Linked DNA regions of Struthio camelus. The protein of the gene in region 4 purifies or fractionates together with the protein of the main gene of each other region. This does not show direct contact. Links are inferred from orthologs where the notes say so. Each region holds a gene or a part of one and is shown on either strand. Other genes may lie near its edges.

The links.
Region 1: the proteins of CDC37 (region 4) and RPS6KA4 purify together in Homo sapiens (affinity purification with mass spectrometry; 3 studies listed by BioGRID and IntAct, with this or other methods). This does not show direct contact. The link is inferred for Struthio camelus from reciprocal best matches to the Homo sapiens genes CDC37 and RPS6KA4.
Region 2: the proteins of CDC37 (region 4) and RPS6KA3 purify together in Homo sapiens (affinity purification with mass spectrometry; 3 studies listed by BioGRID and IntAct, with this or other methods). This does not show direct contact. The link is inferred for Struthio camelus from reciprocal best matches to the Homo sapiens genes CDC37 and RPS6KA3.
Region 3: the proteins of CDC37 (region 4) and DDX17 purify together in Homo sapiens (affinity purification with mass spectrometry; 3 studies listed by BioGRID and IntAct, with this or other methods). This does not show direct contact. The link is inferred for Struthio camelus from reciprocal best matches to the Homo sapiens genes CDC37 and DDX17.

The regions. Positions count from the first base shown.
Region 1 is NC_090976.1:700,239-707,968, reverse strand, and holds the start of RPS6KA4 (ribosomal protein S6 kinase alpha-4), read right to left. Parts: upstream 3,005-7,730; 5' UTR 2,863-3,004; coding exon 2,775-2,862; intron 1,575-2,774; coding exon 1,503-1,574; intron 261-1,502; coding exon 42-260; intron 1-41. UniProt on the Homo sapiens protein: Serine/threonine-protein kinase that is required for the mitogen or stress-induced phosphorylation of the transcription factors CREB1 and ATF1 and for the regulation of the transcription factor RELA, and that contributes to gene activation by histone phosphorylation and functions in the regulation of inflammatory genes.
Region 2 is NC_090942.1:136,907,203-136,914,400, reverse strand, and holds the start of RPS6KA3 (ribosomal protein S6 kinase alpha-3), read right to left. Parts: upstream 3,011-7,198; 5' UTR 2,928-3,010; coding exon 2,856-2,927; intron 1-2,855. UniProt on the Homo sapiens protein: Serine/threonine-protein kinase that acts downstream of ERK (MAPK1/ERK2 and MAPK3/ERK1) signaling and mediates mitogenic and stress-induced activation of the transcription factors CREB1, ETV1/ER81 and NR4A1/NUR77, regulates translation through RPS6 and EIF4B phosphorylation, and mediates cellular proliferation, survival, and differentiation by modulating mTOR signaling and repressing pro-apoptotic function of BAD and DAPK1.
Region 3 is NC_090942.1:58,319,201-58,326,658, reverse strand, and holds the start of DDX17 (probable ATP-dependent RNA helicase DDX17), read right to left. Parts: upstream 3,012-7,458; 5' UTR 2,685-3,011; coding exon 2,641-2,684; intron 1-2,640. Other genes in the region: DMC1 (meiotic recombination protein DMC1/LIM15 homolog), read right to left, coding at 6,473-6,542, 7,256-7,372. UniProt on the Homo sapiens protein: As an RNA helicase, unwinds RNA and alters RNA structures through ATP binding and hydrolysis.
Region 4 is NC_090972.1:4,866,599-4,873,724, reverse strand, and holds the start of CDC37 (hsp90 co-chaperone Cdc37), read right to left. Parts: upstream 3,016-7,126; 5' UTR 2,969-3,015; coding exon 2,783-2,968; intron 59-2,782; coding exon 1-58. UniProt on the Homo sapiens protein: Co-chaperone that binds to numerous kinases and promotes their interaction with the Hsp90 complex, resulting in stabilization and promotion of their activity. Inhibits HSP90AA1 ATPase activity.

The DNA.
Region 1 (7,730 bases), on a different chromosome or scaffold from region 4:
CCCCCCCCCCGCAACACTCCGGGACCCCACCGGGGCCGTACCGAGGATGAGGTGGAGGCGGGCGCGGGTCTGGAAGGCGTAGTGCAGGGTGACGAGGAAGGGCGAGGCGCGCACTTGCTCGAGGACGGCCCGCTCGGTGCGCGTGTGCTCCGCCGTCTTGGCCTTCTGCGCCACGGCCGCCTTGCGCAGCACCTTCATGGCGTAGAGGCGCCCCGCGTCCGGCCCCGACACCTTGCGCACCAGGAACACCTTCCCGTAGGCTGTGGGACGGTCGCCGTCACGCCAGGGACACGCCACGGGCACGCCCCGTCACGCCAAGGGCACGGCGGTGACGTGCCGCGGAGGCGCCGTGGGCACGCGGGATGGGACGCGGACATGGGATGGCCCCGGGCACACGGGATGGGACATGGGTGCCCCCACAGACACGGGATGGGACATGGGATGGCCCTGGACACATGGGATGGGACACGGGTGCCCTCATGGACATGGGATGGGGACATGGGTGCCCTCATGGACACGGGATGGGACATGGAATGGCCCCGGGCACACGGGATGGGACATGGGATAGCCCTGGACACATGGGATGGGACATGGGTGCCCTCACGGACACGGGATGGGACATGGGATGGCCCCGGGCACACGGGATGGGACATGGGTGCCCCCACGGACACGGGACGGGACATGGGTGCCCCCACGGACACGGGACGGGGACAAGGGAAGGCCCTGAACACATGGGACGGACATGGGTGCCCCCACAGACACGGGATGGGGACGTGGGATGGCCCTGGACACACGGGACGGGACATGGGTGCCCCCACGGACACGGGATGGGAACATGGGATGGCCTGGGGCACACGGGATGGGACACAGGTGCCCTCATGGACACGGGATGGGGACATGGGATGGCCCTGGACACACAGGATGGGACACGGGTGCCCTCACAGACATGAGATGGGGACAAGGGATGTCCCTGGACACATGGGACGGGACATGGGTGCCCCCACGGACACGGGATGGGACATGAGATGGCCCTGGACATACGGGATGGGACATGGGTGCCCCCACGGACATGGGATGGGACATGAGATGACCCTGGACACACGGGATGGGACATGGGTGCCCCCACAGACACGGGATGGGGACGTGGGATGGCCCTGGACACATGGGATGGGACGTGGCTGTCCCTGAAGACACAAGATGGGACATAGGATGGGACGTGACTATCCCTGGGGACATGGGATGGGATACAGTGGCCCCCCCAGACACAAGATGGGACACGGCTGTCCCCAGGGACACAGGATGGGACATAGGATGGGACACAGGATGGGACACAGCTGTCCTTGGGGACACGGGACTGGACACGGGACGGGACATGGCTACTCCTGGGGACACAGGATGGGACATGGCTGTCCTTGAGAACACGGGATGGGGACATGGCTGTCCCCAGGGACATGGCATGGGGACACGAGGACAAGGCCAGGTGGGTCCCCGTCCCCGCTTACCTCCGGTCCCCAGGACCTTGAGCAGCTCGAAGTTCTCCACGCCGACCTTCTCCTGGTGGCCGGCCAGGTTGGCTGGGGACACCGGGGAGGGGGGTCAGTGCCTCTCGGGGACACCAGCGTCACCCCCCTGCCGCAGTGTCCCCAATGTCCCCTGGATCCCCAGGGCTGATCACCCAGGGACACATCACTGTCCCCAATGTCCCCTGGACACCCCCAGCCTTGAACCACCAGTGACACCCCCACACACACCAGTGTCCCCAATGTCCCCTGGACACCCCCAGCCTTGAACCACCAGTGACATCCCCCTAACCTTGGTGTCCCCAATGTCCCCTGGACTACCCCCCCACCCCAGTGTCCCCAATGTCCCCTGGACACCCCCAGCCTTGAACCACCAGTGACACACACCCCACCCCGGTGTCCCCAATGTCCCCTGGACACCCCCAGCCTTGAACCACCAGTGACACACCCCCCACCCCGGTGTCCCCAATGTCCCCTGGACACCCCCAGCCTTGAACCACCAGTGACACACCCCCACCCCCGTGTCCCCAATGTCCCCTGGACACCCCCAGCCTTGAACCACCAGTGACACACCCCCCACCCCGGTGTCCCCAATGTCCCCTGGACACCCCCCCTGCCCCGGTGTCCCCAATGTCCCCTGGACACCCCTAGGCTTCACCTACCAGGAATGTCCCCCCACCCCAGTGTTCCCAATATCCCCTGGAGCCCCACACCTGCCCCCTCAATGTCCCCACTGTCCCACCCGATGCCGACCTCTCCCCCCCCACCCGGCCCCGGAACGTCCGCGCTGGGCCGCGGTTTCCCCCCCGGCGCGGTGCCCGCGTACCGCCCCCTCCCCTGCGCCCCGGTGCCACCGCGATCCGTGTCCCCCCGGACCCGCCCTCCCTCCCCCCTGCGCCCCGGTGCCCCCCCTAGAACGGCCCCCCCTCCCCGCTCCACGCCTCGGTGCCCCCGCGCTCCGTGTCCCCCCGGAACCGCCCCTCCCCAAGCCTCAGTTCCGCCGCCGGCCAGCGACACCCCGGGCCGGTGCTACCCGGAACCGCGCCCCCCCCCAAAAAAAAAAAAACCACCCGGTCCCGGTACCCCCTCGATCCGTGTCCCCCCCCCCCTCGCAACCGCCCCCTCCCTCCCTCCTCCTGCCCCCCCGGTGCGCCCGGTCCCACCCGGAACGGGCCGCTGAGGGCGCCGATGTCCCCCCCCGGCCCGGTGCCGCCGCCCCCCCCGCCCCGTTAGGGCCCCCCCCGGGGCCGGTACCGAGAGCGGGCGGCAGCTCCTCGTCGTCGTCGTCGCCGCTGCTGCTGTCGCCGCGGGCCGCGGGCTGGATACCGGCGGGTTCGGCCATGGCGCGACCCGGCCCGGCCCGGCCCGGCCCGGCGCTTCCTGGTGCCGCCCCCGGGGCGGGGGAACCGGCACCGACACCGGCAGCCCGGCCCCGCCGAGGGACCCGCTGCTTCCCCGCGGCCCCGCCGGTACCGGCAGCCCGGGCCGGACCGGAACCGGAACCGGAACCGAAACCGTCTGGGTCGCAACCGGAACTGGAAGCGCCCGAGCGGGGCAGGGCCGGTACCGGGCTCCTCCGGCCGGTTCTGGGACCCCCCCAGCCGGTCCCGGGCTCCTCCGGCCGGTTCTGGGACCCCCCCAGCCGGTCCCGGGCTCCCCCCGGCCGGTTCTGGGACCCCCCAGCCGGTACCGGGCTCCTCCGGCCGGTTCCGGGACCCCCCCCAGCCGGTCCCGGGCTCCCCCGGCCGGTTCTGGGACCCCCCAGCCGGTACCGGGCTCCTCCGGCCGGTTCCGGGACCCCCCCCAGGCGGTCCCGGGCTCCTCCGGCCGGTTCTGGGACCCCCCCCCCCAGCCGGTCCCGGGACCCCCCCAGCCGGTTCCGGGACCCCCCCCCCCAGCCGGTCCCGGGACCCCCCCAGCCGGTTCCGGGACCCCCCCCCCAGCCGGTCCCGGGCTTCCCCCCCCAGCCGGTCCCGGGCTCCTCCGGCCGGTTCCGGGACCCCCCCCCAGCCGGTCCCGGGCTCCCCCGGCCGGTTCTGGGACCCCCCCCCCCCGGCCGGTACCGGGCTCCTCCGGACAGTCCCGGGCTCCCCCCCCCCAGCCGGTCCCGGGCTCCCCCGGCCGGTCCCGGGACCCCCCCCCCAGCCGGTCCCGGGCTTCCCCGGCCGGTTCCGGGACCCCCCCAGCCGGTCCCGGGCTCCTCCGGCCGGTCCCGGGCTCCTCCGGCCGGTTCTGGGACCCCCCTCCCCCAGCCGGTCCCGGGCTCCTCCGGCCGGTTCTGGGACCCCCCCCAGCTGGTCCCGGGCTCCTCCGGCCGGTTCTGGGACCCCCCAGCTGGTCCCGAGATCCACCCAGCCGGTACCGGGACCCCCCGGCTGGTGGCAGAGGGGCAGGAGGACCCGGGGGGGGAGGGAGACATTGGGGGGGGGGTCGGTTTAAGGGGACCCCAGGGTTTTGGGGGGGGGGCTCCAGGGCCCGCCAGGGATTTGGGGGCAGGACGTTGGAGGGCTCCAGGGGGGGACTTGGGGGGCTCTGGGGTTCCCCTGGGCTGGGGGGACCCCGGGATTTGGGAGGATGGGGGGGGAACTTGGAGGTCAGGGGGCTCCAGGGTTCCCCTGGGCTGGGGGGGCCCTGAGATTTGGGGGGGTGCTGGGGGGGGACTTGGAGGTCAGGGGAACCTGGGGATATGGGGCCTCTGGGGACTCGGGGGGCTCCAGGGGTCTGGAGGGGACCCTGGAGATTTGGGAGACTGGGGGGGGACTTGGGAGTCAGGGGGACCCCAGGGACTTGGGGGGGGCTCTGAGGACATGGGGGTCTTTAGGGGGGGGCTCTAGGGGACCTCAGGGATTTGGGGGGCACTTGTGGGGCAGAGCTGACAGCAACCCCAGCCCCCTCCAGCTGCTGTGGGGCGAGGGCCGATCTCGGGGGGTCCCCAGCCACCGTGGGGCAGAGCCTGGCCTTTGGGGGGGGGGGCCCTGTCTCGCTGTGGGGCAGGGGCTGATCTCGGGGGGGGGCGCAGCTCTCAGTGGCCGTGGTGGAGCAGGATTTGGGGGTGCAGCATGGTTTGGGGTGCAGGGTTCAGGGCACAGTGGGGGGGTTCAGCAGTGCACTGACCTCCACACTGGGGTGCTGGGGGGGGGGACGGGGACCCCCACATCGGGGGGCTGGGGGGGGGGGGAGGATGGGCATTCGTTTCCAAGGAGCAGAGTCTCACATCCAGCGCGATTAATTATTTATTCAAACGTCGGTACGGTAAATCAACAGCTCAGCTGGTGCCTCCGGGGAGGGACCCCGAAACGAAGCGATTCTGGGGTCGTCAGACCCCACACCCCCCCCCCCCAGCCCCCCTGCAGCCTTATTCCCCCACCTGCCCGCGACGGTCGCTTCCCGTCGCCTTCCCTCCGCCGGTGCCCGTTTCCTTTCGATCGGTCCCCGTCTACGTGCCGGGACGGCTGCTACGTTCCTGCTTCGCAGCGCCAGAACCTTCTCCGAGGTTACTCCATCACGCCGAGTCCGGCGCGGGCCGCGTCCCCCCCCCCGAAAGATATCCCTCGCCCCCGGCCGGCCGTGCCGCGTCCCCCCCCCGAAAGATATCCCTCACTTCCCGCTGTCGTGTGCCGCCTCCCGCCCGGAGCTCGTCCCTTCGGCGTGTGCCGCGTCCTACCTGAAGCTCGTGCCTCGCCTCTGTCCGTCGCGGGCCGCGTCCCGCCGGGTGCTCGCCCGTTCGGCGTGTGCCGCGTCCCGCCGGGTGCTCGCCCGTCCGTCGCGGGCCGCGTCCCGCCGGGTGCTCGCCCGTTCGGCGTGTGCCGCGTCCCGCCGGGTGCTCGCCCGTCCGCCGCAGGCCGCGTCCCGCCGGGTGCTCGCCCGTCCGTCGTGTGCCGCGTCCCGCCGGGTGCTCGCCCGTCCGCCGCGGGCCGCCTCCCGCCGGGTGCTCGCCCGTCCGTCGCGGGCCGCGTCCCGCCGGGTGCTCGCCCGTCCGTCGCGGGCCGCCTCCCGCCGGGTGCTCGCCCGTCCGTCGCGGGCCGCCTCCCGCCCGCCGCTCGCCCGTCCGCCGCGGGCCGCCTCCCGCCCGCCGCTCGCCCGTCCGCCGCGGGCCGCCTCCCGCCGGGTGCTCGCCCGTCCGCCGCGGGCCGCCTCCCGCCGGGTGCTCGCCCGTCCGCCGCGGGCCGCCTCCCGCCGGGTGCTCGCCCGTCCGCCGCGGGCCGCCTCCCGCCCGCCGCTCGCCCGTCCGCCGCGGGCCGCCTCCCGCCCGCCGCTCGCCCGTCCGCCGCGGGCCGCCTCCCGCCAGGTGCTCGCCCGTCCGCCGCGGGCCGCCTCCCGCCGGGTGCTCGCCCGTCCGCCGCGGGCCGCCTCCCGCCCGCCGCTCGCCCGTCCGCCGCGGGCCGCCTCCCGCCCGCCGCTCGCCCGTCCGCCGCGGGCCGCCTCCCGCCAGGTGCTCGCCCGTCCGCCGCGGGCCGCCTCCCGCCGGGTGCTCGCCCGTCCGTCGCGGGCCGCCCCCCGCCGGGTGCTCGCCCGTCCGCCGCGGGCCGCCTCCCGCCGGGTGCTCGCCCGTCCGTCGTGTGCCGCCTCCCGCCGGGTGCTCGCCCGTCCGTCGCGGGCCGCCTCCCGCCGGGTGCTCGCCCGTCCGTCGTGTGCCGCCTCCCGCCCGCCGCTCGCCCGTCCGTCGTGTGCCGCGTCCCGCCGGGTGCTCGCCCGTCCGCCGCGGGCCGCCTCCCGCCGGGTGCTCGCCCGTCCGTTGCGGGCCGCCTCCCGCCGGGTGCTCGCCCGTCCGCCGCGGGCCGCCTCCCGCCGGGTGCTCGCCCGTCCGTCGCGTGCCGCCTCCCGCCGGGTGCTCGCCCGTCCGCCGCGGGCCGCCTCCCGCCGGGTGCTCACCCGTCCGTCGCGTGCCGCCTCCCGCCCGCCGCTCGCCCGTCCGCCGCGGGCCGCCCCCCGCCGGGTGCTCGCCCGTCCGTCGCGGGCCGCCTCCCGCCGGGTGCTCGCCCGTCCGTCGTGGGCCGCCTCCCGCCGGGTGCTCGCCCGTCCGCCGCGGGCCGCCTCCTGCCCGCCGCTCGCCCGTCCGTCGCGGGCCGCCTCCCGCCGGGTGCTCGCCCGTCCGTCGCGGGCCGCCTCCCGCCGGGTGCTCGCCCGTCCGCCGCGGGCCGCCTCCCGCCGGGTGCTCGCCCGTCCGCCGCGGGCCGCCTCCCGCCGGGTGCTCGCCCGTCCGCCGCGGGCCGCCTCCCGCCGGGTGCTCGCCCGTCCGTCGCGGGCCGCCTCCCGCCGGGTGCTCGCCCGTCCGTCGCGGGCCGCCTCCCGCCGGGTGCTCGCCCGTCCGCCGCGGGCCGCCTCCCGCCGGGTGCTCGCCCGTCCGCCGCGGGCCGCCTCCCGCCGGGTGCTCGCCCGTCCGCCGCGGGCCGCCTCCCGCCGGGTGCTCGCCCGTCCGCCGCGGGCCGCGTCCCGCCGGGTGCTCGTCCGTCCGCCGCGTGCCGCGTCCCGCCGGGTGCTCGTCCGTCCGCCGCGGGCCGCCTCCCGCCGGGTGCTCGCCCGTCCGCCGCGGGCCGCCTCCCGCCCGCCGCTCGCCCGTCCGCCGCGGGCCGCCTCCCGCCGGGTGCTCGCCCGTCCGCCGCGGGCCGCCTCCCGCCGGGTGCTCGCCCGTCCGCCGCGTGCCGCGTCCCGCCGGGTGCTCGCCCGTCCGCCGCGGGCCGCCTCCCGCCGGGTGCTCGCCCGTCCGTCGCGGGCCGCGTCCCGCCGGGTGCTCGCCCGTCCGCCGCGGGCCGCCTCCCGCCGGGTGCTCGCCCGTCCGCCGCGTGCCGCGTCCCGCCGGGTGCTCGCCCGTCCGCCGCGGGCCGCCTCCCGCCGGGTGCTCGCCCGTCCGCCGCGGGCCGCCTCCCGCCCGCCGCTCGCCCGTCCGCCGCGGGCCGCCTCCCGCCGGGTGCTCGCCCGTCCGCCGCGGGCCGCCTCCCGCCCGCCGCTCGCCCGTCCGCCGTGTGCCGCCTCCCGCCGGGTGCTCGCCCGTCCGCCGCGGGCCGCCTCCCGCCGGGTGCTCGCCCGTCCGTCGCGGGCCGCCTCCCGCCGGGTGCTCGCCCGTCCGTCGCGGGCCGCCTCCCGCCGGGTGCTCGCCCGTCCGCCGCGGGCCGCCTCCCGCCGGGTGCTCGCCCGTCCGCCGCGGGCCGCCTCCCGCCGGGTGCTCGCCCGTCCGCCGCGGGCCGCGTCCCGCCGGGTGCTCGCCCGTCC
Region 2 (7,198 bases), on a different chromosome or scaffold from region 4:
ACTTGTAGAAACAGAACTCCTGCAGCTTACCTCTGAAAACTATAAATCCATGTCACATCTAAAAAACTACTTGCATTATTTCTTAAGAAAGACCACGTTCTACAGATCTGTTGATTATACTCGCACTAAGTTACAACAGTTGTTGAACGTTAATAATGTAGTCTTTCAGAGTAATGCTAGTTAAAGGTATTTACTCCTCCCATAGAATACGCCCATGTATCACAATAATTCATCTCCTCAGTGATGCCAATAGGAAACTGAGTACAGGACTGCATAGTCCTAAAAATTTAATCCAGGTAATAAAAAATGAAAATTAATCCAATATGAAAACTCAGAGTTAAGATTACAAAAAAGGATTTGAGATAAGTTTTAAAGCTCTTAATTCCATGATTCCATGTGGATAACACAGCATTACAAAAAAATGCATCAGCAAATCTGCCATGTTAGTGGAAACTCTTTACCCTGTTATTACTGCTGAAGACATTATTATTATCAAACTATGACTGAAAGCACAATGAGGATGTAAAAAATATCTTTGCCCAAGGATGTGCTTGCAGGATAGGGTCTGTAATTAGGATACTGCTATGCTGCAGATGACTACATTTTCAATTCGCATGAGTTGTTTATGTACTTAGGTCATTTGTTTATTTGACTTAAATTTATCAATTTTCATTAAAACATCTTCTCTTCTTAAAAACTCATTTCAGGTAAGCAACTTCTTTAAGTCTACCTTTTCCTTTTGAGGAAAAGCTTTTACAGGTGCAATCTGGTCTTTTCAAGCACTGGATATTTATTTTAGACTAGGACCTTACCTTGTAAACCTGTCAGTTCAGTTGCTGTTTCATGTTTTGTTAGTGTTCCCAGTGAATTTTTTTAGATGCCTTATGACACACTGCTGTAGACTCAAGACAATGCAAGTGCTTTACTCCTTCCTCCCTCCCTCACTTTAGGAAGAGGTAGAATACACCAGTTTCAAGAAATCTATGACAGTAGTTTAAAAACAAATCATGGAACTAAAGTGCACTAAAACAAGGAAGTAATAAAAAGAGCATAATTAACCACATACATAGGTACTTTTCAAATTATCTGGTTTTATTACCTTTCTAGTATATATACCCTAGCGTTATTCAAGACGCATAGAATACATGCAGTGAGCAAGGAAGACTGAACTAACAGTTAAGATGTATTCTCTAAATCATTAGTGTAAACGGCCTTGCAGAAAAATCCTTCCTTGCCACTTCTCTCCCCTGAGCATCACACTATTCCAATTACTCTTCACTAAAAAATACTCATCTAAGAGCACCACTTCAAAAGTCACTGAGGGAAATTACAGTAAACAGCAAGAATTTAAGACAGTTAGATGCGTCTGTTAGATCAGAAGTCCAGGTTCTTCTGACTTCCAGAGATGCAGTCACTTTAAGCAGAAGGAAGACAAACATCAAGAGGACAAACACGTTGATACTGCAGAAACTTTTCAGTTTGGTCTATCTTTCTCTGCTTCACTCATTAGGAATAAGCCCTAACCTTGAAACTAATTTTTGTGGGCTGGCCTGAATCCACACTGTTCAAAATCATGGTTTGGAGCAGACTGGCTGCGTATCAGCTGGAGGAGATTCAGGTACAAGCTGCACCATCAGAGGAAGCTCTTCCTTTCCTTTCTGATGGGAGTCTGACCGTCAACTAGGGTGTACATTGCAGATGACTAGGAAACCACGAAGCAAGCACAACTGTCTCTGTACGTGTGGTGTTTACGTAGATCCAAACCAACAGAGCAGCAAGTACTCGGTAAAGAAGAACTGGAAATAACTGGAGGCGTCCGTAGCCCCCGATCTCAGGGTGCAAGCGAGGCTAATTTCCAGCTCCTGGCATTATCTCAGCCTGGAAGAGCTCACACGCGTCCTGCCCGACGGTGACACGAGCGCAACACCAACTCCCCACTACCAAAAGCAGGAAACCGCACTGGGCTGCATCTCAGGGATGTTCCCACAAAACGCGGCCGAGCACCGAGCTTCACCAATGCGAAGCGCCCGTGCGGTTTCCCAAACGCTTGCGAAACTGCAGAGACACAACCCCATCCTGCTTAGATAAGGGGACAGCGGCACCCGGGCGGGGACAACCCTTCCCCGCCGCAGGGGGAGCAGCGGCAAGGCGAGGGCGCCGGCAAAGTGACGCCGGCGCCGGCCAAGCCCCGCGGCCGAGGCCAGGGCCAGGACCGAGACCGGGCTGACCGCCCCCCCTCCCCTCCCCTCCCCTCCCCCTCAATCCCGGGGCCGGTTCCGGCCGCTCGGGAAGTGCGTGCGGAGGCGGCAGGGCCGCCCCGGGGCAGGGGGAAACCCGCTCCCGACGAACGGGCACGGCGCCGAAACAAAAGCCGCCGCCGCCGCCGGAGCCGCTGGTCGCCCTGCCCGGGGCGGCGGGCGGAAGGGGAGGGAGCCGGCGGCGGCCGTGACCCGCGGCGCGGGGCAGCCCCGGCCGGCGCCGGCCGTGAGTCAGTGCCCGGCGGAGGGAGCGGCGCGCACGAGGCGGCCGCCGCCGCCGCGCTCGTCCCCCAGCCCCGGCCGCCGGGGGAGCCCCAACCGCCCCCCCGCCTCCCGTCCTCCCCGGCGGCGGCTCGCTGCCCCCTCGCACCCGCCGCGGGAAACTTTCTCCGTCCCCCGAAGAGCGGCGGGAGCCGCGCTCCCGTCTCCGCCTCCCCCCCCCGCCCCGTCCGCGGCCCCTTCGCAACTTCCCCTGCCCCGACCGCCCTCACACGCCACCGGCGCCGCCACACGCCCCGCTAACCCCCGGGGCACCGCGGCCCCCCGCCCCAGGGCTCGGCTCTCGCCCTGGCCGCCGCTCCCCGCCGCCGCCCGTACCTCCGTGCTGCTCTCGGCCGCGCTCTCCACAGCCATCTTCTGCCAAGGGTCCGCCAGCTGCGCCAGGGGCATCTTCCCCGCCCGGCGCCCGCGGCCCCCGCGCCCCGCTTCCCCACACCACCCCCCCGCGGCGGCGGCGGCGGCGAGGCGCGACGAGGCAGGCAGCGAGCCCTCGGGCGGGCGCGGGACGCCCCGGCTGCCAGGACAGCCCCGGCCGGCTCTCACGGCGGCGGCGGCGGCAGCAGCAGCGACTGCGGGGACGGCCGCCGAGCTGCCGCCGCCCGCCCCTCCCCCACGCGCTCCCCCCTCCCCGCCGCCAGGCGGGGCCGCGCTTCCGCCCTCCCACCCGGGCCGCCGCTCGCACCCGGCTTCCGCTCGCACAACATGGCGCCCGAGCCATTACCTGCCCGCCCCAGCCGAGGCTACGCGCGCGTCACCCCCAGCGGGCGGGGCCGCGGCCGGGGCCGGGCCAATCGGCGCCGCCTGCAGGTAGCGGGAGGGGGCGGGGCCTGGCTGGGAGGCGGGGCGGAGCCGCGGCCCGGCTCGGTGGCGGGTGGCGCCGCGGGGGGGGGAGGCCCGCGGGTCGGGCGGCGCAGCGCGTCGGGAAGGCAGTACCGGGGGGAAAGAGAGGGACGGGGACGACGTAAAGACCGCGGTCGGAGGTGCGGGTTGAGGAGCTGGAGGCTTCAGCGGCCGAGAAAGCGGGGCGCCGGGAGCCGTTGCGGAAGCGGGTGGCGTGTGCGCGGCGGCGGGGTGGGCTGCGTGGGTGGGAGCTGCCTGGCAGCGGGCAAGCCGTGCTTTGTGCAGGCCGCGAGGGCAGAGCTGCCAGCGGAGCCGGGGAAAGGGCTTGTTCTCCTCGCCGTTTCCTCAGCTATTAGCTGGGGCGCGGACAGCTGGCTGAAATACAGGCTGAGATCCCCCCCAGGCCTGCGGCCTGGCTGCAGCCGCGCAGCCCCGACGGGCCGGAGCCGCCGCCGCCGCCGAAGGTGGACGCCCGCGTTGGGCGCCTCGCTGCCAAGTTTTCCCAACCCTACCTGAGAAGGGCCGCTTCGTTTTCCACAGGCCTCGCCCCCCTGCCCACCGACTCTGTCCTAAAGCCTTTCCAGGTGTTGATGGGCGTAAGTCACGTGCTTTGCTTCACCCCCGATAAAGGTTAATGTCGTTTTATTTGGGTGGGGGGCAAGGGGATGATGGGGCAGGAGTGCTAGTACCTAAAAAAACGCGTGTGCGCGCATGCATGAAAGCACGTGGGTGCGCACACTGATGTGGCAAACAGGCTACTTCTGTTTCTGCTCGGCAGCGTGTTTTCGTCCCGCTTTATTTCTGTAAGCGTGACTGCCTGCCGGCTAAGAGGTGCCAAGTAATGGACAGGCCGTGCTCCATAATGAATCGGACTTCAGCCGGTGCTGCAGCGAGCTCCATATCTGGCGTAAAAGGTCATCGCGGAACGATCCCCCCGAGCCACCACCGCTGCCAGGAGCAGCAGCTGTGCCCTCCCCTTGCTTGCTGCTCTTCGTGCTGGCCCTTGCCGCAGCCTCTCTTTTGAACGGGTGAAATTGCTGGTGCTGCCACGTGGTGAGTCAGACTGCAGAACAGCGCCAAGTAAAAACTAAACCCCCCAAACCACCACCACCTCTCAGAAAACAAACCCAAGCCCATCCAAGCTTGAGTTAAAAGTTGAAAAGAAATCAGGGCTGCCCCCTTTGACAACAGGGGGGCGGTTTGTAAAATTCTGGCCTGTTATTGATATGAAGTTTAGAATAAGGCAATAGAAAACAGAGATAATTCAGTAGTGCTTGACAGCTTTTACGCTTAGGTTAATAGCAATTTTGTAGTCTGATCAGAACCAGGTCACTTTAGTCTCGAGCTGGCGGCTGGAATGTTGAATGGAAAGCTTATGTTCACAGCAGTTGTACGTTGTGTGTTTGACACACACATCAATGCTTTTCTTTATCTTTTGAGTTCGTGTAAGAGTCTGTAAAGAAAGAAAAGTTTGCTTCCATCCCTTTAGAGGTGTCAGCTTCTGTTCCCTCACAGGGATAATTCAATTTACATTATTGCAGCTCATTCATTTGTACCCACGCTAACTACACGGTCAAATACCCACATCTGAGACTTGCCGTTATGAAAAAGAACCTGATCAGCTCAAGGGTGGCAACCGTAATAGAGAAAAAAATTACTTAAATTTGCGTTTAACATAATTCAAGCAATCCCTCTTTATATGGTAAGACTTCCTTCCTCTAAATAAAGGCTATCGTCTCCTGTCTTCCCTTCCTACTTGTCTGGTCATTTCCTGCCATAGATACCTGTTCCAAATCATTTATTTAGAGTTTGAAGCTCTTCTCAGAGGGAGAGATGGTGTCACATTTCAGTCAGGGCCTTTGAAAATGTTCATCATCTGTTGTCCTTCCTACGAATCCAGAAGAATAAAGGCAAAGATTTTATGTGCTAATATGTAAAAGGGCTGCAAACAACAGAAACCTGACCTTTTCGAAGGCACTGATGTGAGGAGGATGGGCTGAAGTATGCCATTTAATTGTTTGGGGGCTTATTTGAGTATTATCATACCACACATTTAAATCTTACAAAGGAGACAGCTTCATCAGGATTTTAATAAGAGCTACTACAGAGGAACAGAATTCAGGGCAGAAAAAAACATCTGTAGATTGTCCCCATGGGGAAGAGAAACACATCAGTTGATGTCTGGGAGATGCGGGGGTTTCTGACTTTCGGATCCTGCTAAGTTCTGGGCTGGATCGTCCAGAGAGGGGTAAGACACTGAAGGTATTTTGCCTCGAGACAGCAACTCCTGTTTTCATTCCTTCTGTCTCAGGCCAAAGCAAGACTCGTGCTTTCACCTGTGGCAGCAGACCTTTCCTTCTACCCTCTTCCCCTTTAAGCACAGCTATCACATGTTGAATGTAGTCACCATTAATAACCGCCTGTCACCAGAGTCTGTAGGGGTTGAATTCACCTTGGCAGAAGTGGTCGCTATCATATTGCATCTACACAGATGTTTTACATGCACTTCAACTTGATCACATTTTTTAGGAGAAGAACAGCATGTGGCAGCTGAAGTGACAGTGCTCTGTAAAATCTTGTTAATGTATCGTTATATGAACTCGTTATATGAACGTTATATGGGCTCCACAAACTGCACCTTTTTTGATACCACTTATGACAAATATAAGTTGTCATTGTATTGAAAGGGGAGACATGAGCTTAATAGGACTCATCTATCTTTCCCCTACTCAAGTCAGGTTGAGAGGTGAGCGAAAGGAATAAGGGAAGCTTGCTCATGGTCAATCATTTCCAAGGCTTTGTATAGCTTTGAAGTAATACCTAATAACTCTTTGCATGTAAGGCAGAATTCATTGCAGGGTTAGTAAATGGCTGTAGTCACACCCAAAAATCAAATTAATAAGCATAAAACGGGAATAGTTGGTAGCATCACTACAGTACCAAAAGGATGCCAAGAAACCGGAGCAAAGTTGTATTTCCACTAAAGTGGAAGGCAGAATTCCGGTTTATTTAACTGGTTTGAAATCCTGTTTCCCTTGGTCACAGTACCACGCTTTTAGAAAGTATTCTGACAGGACTAATAAATCAAATGCATTTAGGGGTCACAGTATAGTATTTAGGAGCTTGAACTTGTATTTTCTAAATATAAATAAAAGGGAAAAATGAGTAAACCAAACAGTATTTATGAGAGCAAAACCCACACGCATTACATAGATGGTGTAGTAGTGTATTAGGTATGAATTATAATGTAGTTTCTTCTGGATTAAAACGCGTAGAATATGAAAAAGTAAATGCCTTCTGAAAGTGCAAATTGAACTTCAGTTTCAAATGTTACAACCATAGTGTTGAGGTATATAATTTGAATTGACTGTATGGGAAAATATGCAAATGTTATTATTCAAAATTATGTAGAAGAAAACTTAGGAGTTAAGTAAAAAACTAAAAAAATCAATACAATTTATTTTTATAGCCAGTAGGAGCAGAAGAGCCTCTTACTCTCGGGACACCTGGATTCAATTCTTAGAGGATCACAAAGGACAATTGTGTAATTTGGTCACTTAGTGTAGATTCAACTAAGGAGACTTAAGTCTTTCTTAATGATGTTTTCAAAAGTGTGAAGAGACATTAACTGGAGAAGCGTAAATATATCCTGCCAAAATAGAATAAGGAAGCCTTAGCGGAAAGTAGAATTGGTTGCTCTGTGCTTTAGTCAGTGCTTTACTTGCCTCGTTGGGATATTGCAAGCATGTTTTCCCTGATGTTTGGAAAACTGATGATGGCTGGGGAGAGAGACTATATGCTAAAAGAAGTTCCCAGCTGGC
Region 3 (7,458 bases), on a different chromosome or scaffold from region 4:
CTTATTTTCTCATCAGTATGCCTCTCAGATCCCCAAAACAGTCTGCAAAATCAATAACTTCTGTCATATGACAAGACTGTAAAACAACTTCAAAAATCAATTTAAGGTTTAATTACTCTTTTGAGACAAAGTAAGAGAGTCAGTACAGATCATCAGTTACAGAAACATTCATCTTTACTGACGATATCTGCTACTGATTGTGCTAATCTGAGGTTAAAAAAAAGTCAGATATTTATGAATCTAAGTAACTCTAACAAAATGAATAGTCTCACTGAAGTCAGCTGGAGAGTCAAACTGTGAATAAGTTTACAAAGAATTGACTGCAAGATCAGACAGTAAAACAGCTGGGTATTATAAATATTTGCTCTTTGGCTATCCAGAAGAATACAATGTATTTTGCATAAAAGTCATATAGTTTCAGTTCTTCATTCTTATACACAGTAAGACTGTATGTTGACCTGAAAGAAGTGAGCCCTACATCATTCCTGAAATGCAGCCTCTCACAGAATTTACCTACTCACCTGGAAGTAACTGACACTTCACAATCTCATTACAAGTAATAATCATATTCCAATTCCAGTTAAACTGATTTAAATCTAGGGATATTTCACTGGTTTATCAAGAGTTCTCATTTCAATTAAGTGGAAATTTAGACTGATCCAAAACAATCTGCTCTGGTACTATTGTGCCGTCGTTTATCAACTAAATAAACTAAATCAATTTATTCAATTCCAAAGCACAACAGCATAACTTTCCATGCTAAAGAGTCATCTACAACTTGCTCATGACAGAAGGAAAATAGAAAGCTTGTATTCAGTTGTCTTATAAATGAACCAGCACTGAGAAGGTTAAACTTCTAAACGGAGCTTGACTACCAGGCTGGGTCACCCAAAATTTAAGAGAAGTATTTATGAAAAGATGGTTGCTAGTCATTACAAATACTTCCAGACCTTAAATAGATGGGCATACCAAAGTGAACCCTGACGCATCAAAACTTCCAGTGTAATAGCCCAAGAATAAGATTTTTCATGTAAAACATACAAAATCTTTACAAATAAGCATTTAAGCACTTACTTATGCAACACCTCCGTTTTAAAAGAGAAGTATTTGTCAACAATCAAATTCTTTACACAAAACCAGATTACACAAATTTTAAGGCACATTAAGTATCATGACAATGTTTTCAACTGTGTTCCTTTAAGTAACTGTATATAAATCTGCATACTCAAATTCAGTCACTAAACTCCTAAAAAAAAGCTGGGATCTGAACAATCTCAGGCTCACCAAAGTGTTTACTCCAATGTCCTTGTGTTAAACTAAGCTGGAAAGCTCATAGTGGAAAAACACCAGAACTCTCCTCTCTGTAAAGAAACTAAAACGATCTTTAAATTTAATTTCTGAACATGAAACAGTGGGTGTCAAGATAAAGCAAGAACACAGCTATCTCTCTCCACAGAGAGAGCTAAATATTAAGTTACAATTCAACATATAAACAAAATATTCCTGATCTCTCAGTGGGAGGGAAACAAAAAAAAAAAAACACTCATTCTTAACATGGCAGACTGGATTTCGATTAATAACAAAACCCACATATGCTTATCATTATCCTTGAGAATGAAGGCCTAAACTATTTGTAATTTAAAGGAGAGAAAGGGACAATCTCTCCCGAATTTAGTTCTTAATTTTCTCTTTAGAAAAGCTTGGGATAGGAGTCTTATGATTTCTTAATTCTTTAAAAAAAAAAAAAAAGTCAAAGTCTCAAGCCATTTATATACTGCTATACCAGCCTATGTTATGCTTACCCTAATGATACCCAGAGCACATTATATTTATTACTACCGTCCTCAGAGAAAAATCAAACCTGCATAAACCTTTTCTAAACCAAACTTTCTTGAGATAGTAGTATCAAGAGTATCAAATACCAGGCCTTCGCAGTGCCACAGAGACAACTTCTCTTTGATTGCTACCTAAGTAAGCTTGGTCATGCTTTTTAAGTGTGGTCCAGGGCCATGTTTACTGAGATCAGGCTCCTGAGAATGCAACTCCCCTGCATGGTAGCAGTTTTCAATTCTATTTCCTCTCCGGATAAGCCTGGGAGTGCTACTGAGAAAGATCTTTCACCAACTGCCATCTTTCTGAAAAGTCCAGAAGGAGCAATGACAACCCGAAGGGCAGAGTATCCAACCACCCTTTCCAGGGCCACCAAGACCTTCGTTATTTCCAGGGGGGAGTACGATGAAGGAAAATGGAGGTGGCAGGAAAAAAAAAAATTAATAATAACGCGGGGGGGGGGGCAGGAGGACCTTAAAATTGAAAGTGAGGCACATGGTTACACGTGAAGGAAGGAAAAGCAAAATTAAAACAATAACCACCACCCCTTGCTGCCAGAACCCCGGTAGGAATAACGTCTCCAGCTCCCACCCCACCCTGGAATAAAGATATAGGGTGAAAAAAAACTGTCCCAAATACCGCAGCCACGATCAACCTCCCCCCCCTTTACTGCCCCACGATTCCCTCCCGCCCGCCTCCCCCTCGCCTGGCTCCTAAGCCAAAGGAGGGGGCCCCCTCCACCTCCCCCCCCACCGCGCCGCGCCCCCTCCCCCAGGCCCAGCCTTCCCTCCCTTCCCCCCCTCCCCTTACCCGCCGCGGTCTCGGTCGCGGCCCCGGTCTCCGAAGCCTCTCATGGCACCCGGGGGGGTGGGTGAAAGGCAGCGGAATGCTGGCCGTGGGGAGGGTGAGGGACTAGGGGTACGGGGAGAGGGTCCAGCCAGGGGCGGCTGTGCCTCGGCGGAGTCGCTTTGCGCCACCTCGCTTCTTGGGAGGGATACAAAAGGAGAAGAAGTGGTCAGTGGGTCAGAGACCCGCTGAACGTCGGCGGACGGGACGGCGGGGTTCTCGGTAGGCTCCAGGGCCCGTGAAGTGTGGAGACACCAGCGTCTTCTTCCTCCGGGCTCCCGGCACAAAATGGCTGCCGCCTCTCCAACCCGCTTCACTTACGTTACGGGCGGCCCGGCGCTGCGCAAATTCCGGCCCTCGAAAATATCTGCACCTATTCTCGGAACCCAACTACGCCCTAAGCGCTCTTCGCGAAACACTGTTCCGCACAGCGGGCAGGTTACGAAAGTTACGTAGTGTTCTGTGCTTAAGCGGGGCCCCTGCGTCAGGAGGGGAGGGGGGAGAGTAACACTCTCCCTATTCCTCAAAGTCTGCTACGTAAGGAGTCGATCTTGCAACCCCTTCTGGACGGTAGGGAAAACCCAGGCCGAGCCGTACGTTACGTAAGAGCACTGCGTACGCAAGTTGCGCAACTCGGGCTGGCGTAGGGGAGGACGAGCCCGCCCGTTTTGCGTAAAATTCTTCCGTAGGTTTTGCTGGAAGGGCTGGCGGATTACGTTAACTTTGCAGCGTAGTCGAGCTTGGAGAATACGGCCTTTTGCCTACGCGGCCGCTGTCCCCCTGGAAGGCGGCTTCGGGGCTGAGGAGACAATAGCGGAAGCGCGGGTGCCCGCGGCCTCTGCGGCGGCTCCAGCAGGACTGCGCGGGGCCGGTTATGTTTGGTTTCTTCGCGCCTTTTTTTCCTCGCAGATGCCTGGAGGGGATCTTGGCGCCGCGCACAGCGCTGAACCCGTAACAGGAGCGACAGCAGCCATGATGTTTGCTTTCTCCTTATTTCTAGGAGGCTGGAAGAAACTGGTGTAATGCATCCAAAAATGGCTTAATACTCGGCCCTGGTGACCCCCCTCCATAACTGCAGGAGCCTCATAGCAACGTCTCCAGAAAGTCAACTGCTAAAGAATTCACACTTTTGCTAACTATAATGTTATTCCATGGGGTGATACACTGAATGTTTACAAATGGAACATGCAAAATGTAAATCTTAATATTAAGTTGATGTTGTAAGGTCCTCTGTTGCCTTTTCACCCCAAATATGTGTAATTTTGTTGAGATAAATAGTTTCTTAAAGGCACGTAGATGACACTAGTTTGGCTTTGTTGACTTGTCTTCAAACAGACAAACCAAAGGCACGTGTCTGTTATTTAATAAATGCTTGAAGGCGTATAAATAGAAGTTAACAGCAGCAAACCTACTGCAGCATTCCCATTGTACCTATCCCTATCGCGTCATCTTTACAAACGACGCGCGTGTCTGAATTGGTAAATTCTCTGTGATCTTTGTCAAAGCGGTCCCTTGCTGCAGGAGGAGCCTGCCGGGGGAGCCGGGCGCAAGGTGAGGCGAGGCCAGTCCTGCGAGCCAGCCAGAGGACGGAGGGCACGGCCCCGGCGCTGCGCGCACGCGCCCCGGTAGCATTCGACTCCAGAACAACACCGGAGACTCCCAACTAAATGATAAAATTAGCCAGGAGGCAGCCACGTGGCGTGGGCTGTAAACTATTCGTTAGAAAACTGTCAATTTTACGCTGAACTGCGCAACAGGAGAGAGCTTTTGGTGGCCGCAATGAAATGGCCTTTTGAAAGGAAAGGGGCTGTGCTTCCCTTTCTGGCGCCTCTGGGCGAGCAGCCAGCTCGCCTGCCCTGGTACATGAGGTTTAGCCGTTTATCGGGCGGGTGATCTACCTGCACCGGCCAAACGATGGCATCCCCACGCCAAAGCTGCACGATCAGCAGTGCTTTCCAGGTTATCAGACAATCAAAAATCAGGATGGCTGAAGAGCAAGCGAGTCCCCTTTACTTTCAGACCCTTGAGGTTAACAAATGACTTCGCCTGGAGCCAGATACAAATTGTTTACCACTTTATTCTTCTTGCATTACCGTATGGCACATGTGAGAAGGCAAAAAGCAAACGTGGTGCTGAATGCGTTGAAGAAACTTTTGCCTCCTAAGTGGGTGGGAGTGAATCAACACCGTAAGCTCACGCTTGCGCTCTGCTACTTGGCGATTACAAATAACTGCCGGGTGTGGGAAAGACTGGTAGAGGCAGAGGATTAAATGCTACATTAAATGAAAACTGCTGATCCATTACTGGCTCTCTCTGATCAACTGACCTCCTAGCGCCTTTGTCTCTCTAGACTTCTCTCCGCTGTGAAAAATGGTATTTTACCTCAGAAAAATTATCAAGTATAACATACGCTAAGAAAACACTCAGTGAAGGCAAACTCTTTAACTTTATCACAAGGTAAACTTGCTGAAGTTAAATTCTGGCTACAGTGCCAGGCATTTCTTAAAGAATTTGAAGTAAAAACACAGTGGTGACCAGAAATTATCTTACATAAATTAGATAATCTAAATTTAAAATGCACTTCTATGAGCAAAGACAAGCTCTTTGACCAAACACCAGAGTTAGACCCATTCTCTTCAGCGTTGTGAGACAAGAGGAAGAAGTGAAGCCTTTCTTTAAAGCATTTAACAGTTTATTTTAAAACAAGCAATGTCATAGATATTGGAGGTAGGGAAAACTGAAATTTTTTTTCCCCTACTCCCCCATTTGTCTCTTTACTCACAGCTTGTTCCTTTGTCCCCAGTGACATACATCTGTGGACATAGCTGTGTTGATGGGCCAGCCGGCTACGCTCTCTCAGAACAGATAGCAAGCTAAGCATAAAGTGTCTTTCCCTCAGTGAAAGTACTAGTGTCAGTCTCTATCCTCTATCTAGCCACCGCTTCTGTTTCCTTCTGCTTTTTCATTAAAAAAACCTCATCTTTACTATTCTCATTGGCAGTAGAAGGAGACTGGTGAGGCAATCGCGCAATGTTTGTTTCCTTAGGGAACCGGACTACGGGATTTAAAATACTGGGTTGCATCCTGCTTATTTTTCTCATGAATGTTCTTGGAAATTACTGAGAGCGGAGTCTGATTCAAAGCACCCAAACATAAGCAGAGCGCCAAATAATTTTTTATTTTTATTTTTAGCTTTACTAAATAAAAACAATTTTAAAATATTCCCTCCAAAAGTCACCATGCTAAATAAAAGGACAAAAATAATCTAGTCAAGATAAGAAGGCCTAAAAACATATTTTCAAGCAACTACTGCTCCTCTACTGTTCATGAGATTCCATCAAGTTCTTGGGCTCTTGCCCTGCCACTGCTTTTTCCATCTATTTATCGGTCACTCTTGAAACTATGTTTATTCCAATTCTGTTCCATTTCACACTATTAAATTCTCCTTCACAGACTTTCACTTTCAAAGAAATTGAAAAAGAGTACATTAAGGTGATGTGAGAAGACAGCTTTGATTTTCACAAAATATTGGGAAAGGATTCCTTGAACAATTCACAAGTTTATTTTTCAAATCTTTGTCTGCTGAAAGTTCAATTGAAAAACAAAGCCTCTAAAATGAACCAAATTCTATCAAGATCAATAAAACTGAACTGTACAGAGCTCGTTCCAATGTCCTCCAAAAATATCTCAAATGATCCCCAAAAGATAAAAATGAAGCCAGGGATTCAGTGACCTTGCACACACGTCTCCATCCCAGCTGCCTAGGGGCAGCTATACATTTGCATCAGTTTTCTGCCTATTCTTTGGCATCCCCAATCCCACCAGCAGTTATTGCAAATGTAGCTTCATTTTCAGGCATCTCAGGGCTGCAGACAGAAGAGAAACAAGAAACTCTGTTTTTCCCCCATGTTAAAGGCAGTTGTGGCATAGACCCCAAAACGATGCAAGTATAAGAAGCAACATGGAATACTTCAATGCCTTTATGGCTATGTGCAAACTGTAGAAAGTGATCCAAGATGATCAAGATCAGAAAATGTGAAATCTACCTCTTTGAAGATGAGAACTACAAGGGAGGAGAAAGGAGGAGGTGTAGGAGAAGCAAAGATTCTGTCTATGTAAACCTTCACTTAAATGTCTTAGTTCCAGACCAGGAACGCTGGGTCTCTCTATAAATACACTAATTCCACTGATAAAATTTGTAATGACTTGCGTCTGCCACAGCCTACCAGGTAAACTGATACTCCTAATTAAAACTTCATAATTAAACAGCTCTGGATCTTTCCCGCCAAGGGACCACCAATGTTACCAAACTATTTGACAATCTTCTTTAGGAGATGAGCATCTAGTAGGATTTATGACGAAAGATTATATAATTTAATATACATGATATGTGGAACAGAACTTTAAGTCTGTTCATTGGCTTGTCTTTTCACATTTTCTCTCAACATACCATCCAGAAACATAGCTAATTGGAAACCATGAATCAATTGTCAAGCTATTAAGTTTCAGAACCATGAACTTCATCATCTTAACCTTGCTTGTAACACAGCTTCCTTCCTGTAAAGAAAAGGTGATTTACCTGTCATATATCTTTGCAATACGCAGCTCCCCTCTCCCTTTCCTCAAACTGATCCTGGTAGTTGAAGCATGCGCAAGGATGTGGCCCCCAATGGGCTTTTTTGGGTCTGCCTGAAAGCTAAATTAGCAATAAAATATTGATGATTCACTGTGCAAATTCCATACGTTAACACTGCGATTAGCTCTCAGATGAGGCATATCAGA
Region 4 (7,126 bases):
ACCCCTTATCCAGCTCCTCTTTTTCCTTCTGGAACTGCTCCATCCTCTCCACTCGAGCCTGCAAGCAACAATTTACACTTTTAAGACCCTCAAGAGAAAAACAAATAGATAGTCTGGAAGACTGCAGTCACGAAGCAGCAACATCAGCCTCTCCAGTGCATCCAGAGCCCACAGGACTTTGAATCATCCCTACAACGGCCAACAGGAGCTCGCGACCGGAGCTCAGAGTGGGCAGCTGGCTCTGGCTATTCAGGCCTGCACTGTGCAGTGCTTCCTGGGGAAGGGTGGGGGGCTCTTCTACCTCCTCTGGAGCAGGCAAGAATTGAAACCACTTCAAGACAACAGCGGGATATTTCTGTTTAGCGTTCACTATCTTCCACACCCCATTAGCTGACTTGGGTTCTTTAGCCACGCTTCTCCCGTGACACTGACACACGCACAGAGCCTCCCTACGCTGTTAGGTAACGGCTCGCTGCAGTGTAGGAGACGCGTGCTCCAGGAAGCCTGACATGCTTTCCCAGATCGCTGTTATTCTTTGTGGAACACAGCGAAGAACAAGAAGTCACATACCCTCCCCCAGAAGCAGCTACATTAGGAGCACAAGGTGAGAACAGACGCATCTTTCCTCAAAAAGATCTCTTTCAAGAAAGATCAAGAGGCAGAAGAGCTGCGTTCTCTCCATGCACAGCTCCACAGGACGAACCTGGAGCAGACGCTGCACCACAACATATTCCAAATGCAACATCAAGCCTACGCTCACCTGCCTCAAACAAGCCCTCCAAGCTAAGCACTAGCATTTTGTTTGAACTGGAAGCGGGGGCAATTTAATTTGCACGCCAGCTTCATTTTTCTTCACTGTCCAATTTTTAACCACCCTTCCCTTCCTCCCACAGCCTGTGCTGCTAACCCCCAAATATCATATTACTTGGAGAAAAGGATTGTGAGTCCCTAAGGATTTCTTCTGCTCAGACTAGGCAGCGCAGGTCTGCGCACCTCCTCCACACAAGGCCGGGACCCTTCCTGCCTTCCTATCCAGGGCCCTCACAGGAAGCGGGAAGAACTGCCTTTCACTGTTATTCCTCTGCTTGTTTGAGGTGAGGACGCCTTTAGCGGAGGAAGCCAGCCGGGAGCACACGAACTCACTGCATTCATTCTTTACCTGCAAAGAAACTTGTAGTTTCCTCTCCTCACATTTGGGGGAGGGGGAACCCACAGAAGCAGCGCACACATGCGCTTAGCCAGTATCCCATGAATCTGCCTCTCTCAGTCACTGCCTCCTCCTGCAGGTTTATTACCCTTCATGGGCAGGGGAATCGCAGCAGAAAGAAACAGCTTGCTAGAAGCACAGGGAGTTGCCAGAACTCGGCGCAGCCCTTCCAACCACATCCATGAAACCTACGCAACAGCGACGGGACGCGAAGCTCTGAGTCCCGAGAGCAGGCACTGGCCCCAGGTGAGGTGGGCTACCCCTGGCTTCTCCAGAGGGAAGCCGGGTTCTCCCCGGCGAGCGTCACCTGGCCTGACAAGCTAGGGTAGCACAGGGCAAGCATAAGGGGATAAATCAGTCATTTGAGGAACACAGGCAAAAGGCTGACACGCGGCACTCACAGGGCGCTTCACCGTGGCGCTGCTTTGACCCAGCAGACAAGTCACTTCCACTAATACCCAGGCCCGCTCTAGGGGCGTCAGTGGCATGGTGCCGCAGAGCCTCACAGACAGATCGCGATAGCTTCCAAGCCTCCGCACCAGTATTAGGCAGAAGAGACTACCTCGGGCTGGCTAAGCTCCTAGCACAGTGACTTGGTCAGAGGGTAGCATCTCCCCAGGCCCAGGGAAGGGACAGGGCAGGCACCAGCCTGGGGCTTCCTGGCAGCTGCCCTGGACCCCAGGGCAGGGCCTAAGGACTGCTGGCTCCCAGGGCCTTGGACAGTGTGCCCTGAGGAAGCCTCCTGGAAGGGCCCTGAGGGACAGGGGGAGCCATGGGGACAGGGGTCACAGGGAGCCAGTCCCCACAGCAATAGGAGCCATGGGGGAACCCCTGGCCCAGACACCATGGGGCCAGGTCAACATGAGGATAGGGGTCATAGGGAGCTGGACCCCAAACAGATGAGGGCCATGGGCTCCCCCATGGCCCAGCCACCATGGGGACAGGGGCCAGCAGGAGACCCCAGCCAGGCCAACAAGGGGATGGGGGCCAGGGGGACTGGTCACCCCAGTGACAGGGAGGGGTAACAGGGGAGCCCCCAGCCCAGGCCCCATAGGAAAGGGAAGGGTCTCAGGGAACCATTACCATGGGGACAGGGGGGGGCCACAGGGGAACCCAGGACCCACAGACAAGGGGGGGTCTCAGGGAGCTGCTACCATGGGGACAGGGGGGTCACAGGGGGGCCCCCAGCCCAGGACCCACAGACAAGGGGGGAATCTCAGGGAGCTGCTACCATGGGGACGGGGGGGGGCACAGGGGAGCCCCCAGCCCAGGACCCACAGACAAGGGGGGAGTCTCAGGGAGCTGCTACCATGGGGACAGGGGGGGTCACAGGGGAGCCCCCAGCCCAGGCCCCATGGGGAAGGGAAGGGTCTCAGGGAGCTGTTACCACAGGGACGGGGGGGGTCACAGGGGAGCCCCCAGCCCAGGCCCCATAGGGGAGGCGGTCGCCATGGAAACGGGGTCACGGGGGAGCCGGTCGCCATGGAAACGGGGTCACGGGGGAGCCGCGCCCCGGCCCAGCCCGGAGTCGGGGGGGGGGGGGGGGGCGCTGCCGCCGGCCGGCCGGAGCCCGACCTGGTGCCGCCACCGGAAGAGGCTGGCGGTGTCGATGTTGGGGTGCGTCTCGTCCTCATCGTCCGACACCTCGATGTGGTCCCAGACGCTGTAGTCCACCATGGCGCGGCCGCGCTCCGGGCCCGGCTCCTCCGGCCTCTTCTGGAAACCTCCAGCGCCCGCGCCCGCCCACTTCCGCCCGCACATGCACGCACTTCCGCCCGCGCCTGCGCACTGCGCCTGCGCGCCCGCCCCGCCGCGCAGGGCAGAAGCCGGAAGCGCCGCGAGGCGGCGGCGGCGCGCATGCGCGGCAGCCTCGCCCTGCACAAAGATGGCGCGCCTCTTAAAGAGACACGCGCAGGCGACGCGGGGGTCGGGGCAGGGCCTCGCGTCGACCCCCCCTAGCCCCAGTGGGGACGGGGGGCGCTTCCCCCCCCACCAAAAAAAAAAGAGGTGATGCCAGAAGCACCTGCCTGCGGCACCCCGAGTGCCCCAGTCCATCACCCTGGGTGGTTGTCCCAGGCCCACCCGCCACCCATCCCACCCGTCATCCCGTCCTGCCCCATTGCGACCCCCTGTCACGACCCAGTATCCCATCCTGGCCACCCCAACCTGCTATCTGGGATGGCTGTTGTGGCCACCCCAACCCTGCATCCCGACCCACCAACCCAACCCACCACCCCGATTCTCCATCCCAACCCTCCATCCTGACCCACCAACCTGACCCACCATCCCGACCCACCACCCCGACCCACCACCCTGCGCCACCATCCTGATCCTCCATCCTGATCCTCCATCCCAACCCTCCACCCCAACCCTCCATCCTGACCCCCCACCTCAACACTCCATCCCCACCCACCGTGCTGACCCACCACCCCGACCCACCATCCTGGCCAGCCACCGCAGCCACCCCGACTGTCTCGCCACTGCCAGCCCCCCATCTGCCCGCCCCGAACTGCCACCCCGCTGTGCTGGGGGTGCTAGGGGTGCTGGGGGTGCCCGGTGCTGGGGAGCAGGGGGGGTCCCAGTACCGGGGGTGCATAGGAGTCCCAGGGAGGGTGCTCAGTACCGGGGGTCCCGGTATCAGGGGGTGCTCGGTTTGGGGGGTGCATGGGGGTCCCGGGGGGGTCATGCCCAGTGCCAGGGGGTCCCAGTGCCAGAGGTGCTCGGGGGTCCTGGGTGGTTGCCGGTGCCAGGGGTGCCAGAGGGGTCGCGGTGCTGGGAATCCCGGCGGGATCACAGTGCCGCGGGTCCCAGGGGGGGCTGGTACCGGGGGTGCTCAGGGGTCCCGGGGGGGCCGGTACCGGGGGTGCTCGGCGGTCCCGGGGGGGGGCCGGGGCCGGGGGTCTCGGGGATCCCGGGGGTCCTGGGGGGGCCAGTACCGGGGATGCTCGGGGATCCCGGGGGGGGCCGGGGCCGGGGGTGCCGGTACCGGAGGTGCTCGGGAGTGCGGGGGGGGCCGGGGGGCCACGGCGCGGTGCGGTACCCGCGGGGCCGGCCCCCCCGCCCCCCCCCCCGGTTCGCTCCGCCCGAGCGGCTGCGCCTGCCGGTACCGGGGCGGCGGCGGCGGCGGCGGCGGCGGGGGGGGGGGCGGGAGGCGCCGCAAACAAAGGCGGCTGGATGCGGCCGAGCCGGCGGCGGCCAGGTACCGGGGGCGGCACCGGGGGGCCGGGGGGACCGGGGGGGCCGGGGGGGCCCTCCCCTCCCTGTGCAGCCGCCGCGCTCGGGCCCGGGCATCCCCGGCGGGGAGTGGGGGGCAACGCCTCGGGGGCACCGGGCATCCCGGGGGGACCGGGAATAATGGGGGGACCGGGAATCCCGGCGGCGCTGGGCATCCTGGGGGGACCGGGCATCCCAGCGGGACCGGGAATAATGGAGGGACCAGGCATCATGGGGGCACCGGGCATCCTGGGGGGATTGGGAATCATGGAGGGACCGGGCATCCCGGCGGCACCCGCTATCCGGAAGGGATGGGGGGGTGCAGTGCCGTGGCAGGACCAGGCATCCTGGTGGCACAAGGCATCCCGGGGGGACTGGGAATCATGGGGGGATCGGGCATCCCAGAGGGACCAGAAATAATGGAGAGACCGGGCATCCCGACAGCACCGGGCATCCTGGGGGGACCGGGAATCATGGGAGGACCGAGCATCCCAGCAGCACCGGGTATCTGGAAGGGATGGGGAGGATGCAGTGCCGCGGCAGGACCAGGCATCCTGGTGGCACAGGGCATCCCGGGGGACCAGGCATCCTGGGGGCACTGGGAATCATGGAGAGACTGGGAATCATGGGGGGACTGGGCATGCTGGGGCACCAGGCATCGGGAAGGAATGGGGGGGATGCAGTGCTGCAGCAGGATCAGACATCCCAGCAGCACCGGGCATCTCAGGGGGACCGGGAATAATGGAGAGACTGGGCATCCTGGGGGACCGGGCATCTTGGGGGACCAGGTATCCGGAAGGGATGGGGGGGGTGCAGTGCCGCGGCAGGACCAGGCATCCTGGTGGCACAGGGCATCCCGGGGGGACCGGGCATCTGGGCAGGACTGGGCATCCAGAAGGGATGTGGGGGGTGCAGCGCCCCAGCAGGACCAGGCATCCCAGGGGGACCAGGAGTAATGGAGAGACCGGGCATCCCAGGGGGACCAGGCATCTCGGGGGGACCGGGAGTAATGGAGGGACCGGGCATCCCAGGGGGACCAGGCATCTCGGGGGGACCGGGAGTAATGGAGGGACCAGGCATCCCAGGGGGACTGGGCATCTTGGGGGACCGGGTATCCGGAAGGGATGGGGGGGGTGCAGTGCCACGGCAGGACCAGGCATCCTGGTGGCACAGGGCATCCCGGGGGGACCGGGCATCCCAGGGGGACCAGACATCTCGGGGGGTCCGGGAGTAACAGAGGGACCGGGCATCCCAGGGGGACCAGGCATCTCGGGGGGACCGGGAGTAACGGAGGGACCGGGCATCCCAGGGGGACCGGGCATCCCGGTGGGACAGGGCACCCCGGTGGGAGCAGGTGCCCCATGCGGGAGCCCCCTGGGACACAGCGCTCGGGGGTCCCCGCGGCCGGTCGTGCTGAGGGGCCCCGGGAGCCCCCCGGGGGCAGTGGGGCTGCGGGCAGCGAGCCCCCCGCTCCCGCCCCGCCGGGAGAGGCACCGGGCGTCCCGCGTTTCGGGAGCGTCCCGGCCCTGCGGCCGCGCTGCCGGGGCCGGCCGTGCCGCGTCCTGCCGGCCCCTTCTGCGGCTTCGCCGGCGGCGGCGGGTCGGCGAGACCGCTGCCACCCCATCACCCGTCCCGGCGCAGCCGCCCCTTTCCCCCGGAGCGCCCCGAAATCCCAGCCGGGGAGGGACGTGCGACGCCGTTCCTTCGCCCCGGCCGCCCGCCCCCGGCCGTTTCCGCTCGCGGCTTGGGCTTCGCCGCTCGGCGCGGCGTCACCGGCCCCGGCGCCAAGCGACTGCGAAGCAGTTAAATAGGCGGAAAATTCCTCCCGAAGCCGGGGCAGGCGGCGGGGGAAGCCGGGTGCGCTGACCTGGGGGCAGCCCCCTCCGTGCTGGGGGGAGCCGGAGCCCCAGCGTGGTGCTGGCCGCTGCTGCGATGAGCGTGTCGGTGCTCAGCCCTGCTCCTGCAGCCCCGGGTCCCGGCGACGGAGCGCGAGCAGCCCGGCTGGGCCCCCCCGGGGCGGCGGGGGCGGCGGGACGCAGCCCTCACCCCACCGCTCTCTCTTGCAGGCCCCTGCGCCCCCCGTGCCCCCCGCGCCGGCCCCCCTGGCCCCCGCGGCCGGAGCGCGGGCAGGACGGCCGCTGAGCCCCCGCGCCAGGCGGCTGCATGAAGAAGAGCCGGAGCACCCTGGCCGTGCCCGAGGACCAGGTGAGCGTGGCCCTGGGCCGGGGGGGCAGGGGGCCGTGGACCCCCGGCACTGCCCGGTGCCCCGCGGACACGCCGCCTCCGGGAAGGGGGAGCCGGGCAGAGCTTCTCGCGGCCGGCTTGGGGCCGGGGAGAGCGTGGAAACGCGGGTGGCTGCCCCGTGCCCGCGCGCGCGCCTGCTCGGCCAAGGGTGCGCGTGTGCATGCATGGCTGCAGGTGCGTGCGTGTGCGTGCCCGTGTGTGCGCATGCCCGTGTGTGCATGCAGGCAAGTCTGAGTGTGCAAGCGCATTGGGTACGCGTGCACGCACGGCTGAGGGTGTGCATGTGTGCACACATGTGTGTGTGTGCATGCACGGCTGAGTATGCGTGTGCGTGCATGCGCGTGTGTGCCCATGTGTGGGCAGCCATGGGTGTGTATGTGTGTGTGCCCATGCGTGCACAGCCAAGAGCACGTATGTGTGTGTACGTGTGTGCGCATGCATGCACAGCCAAGTATGCATGTG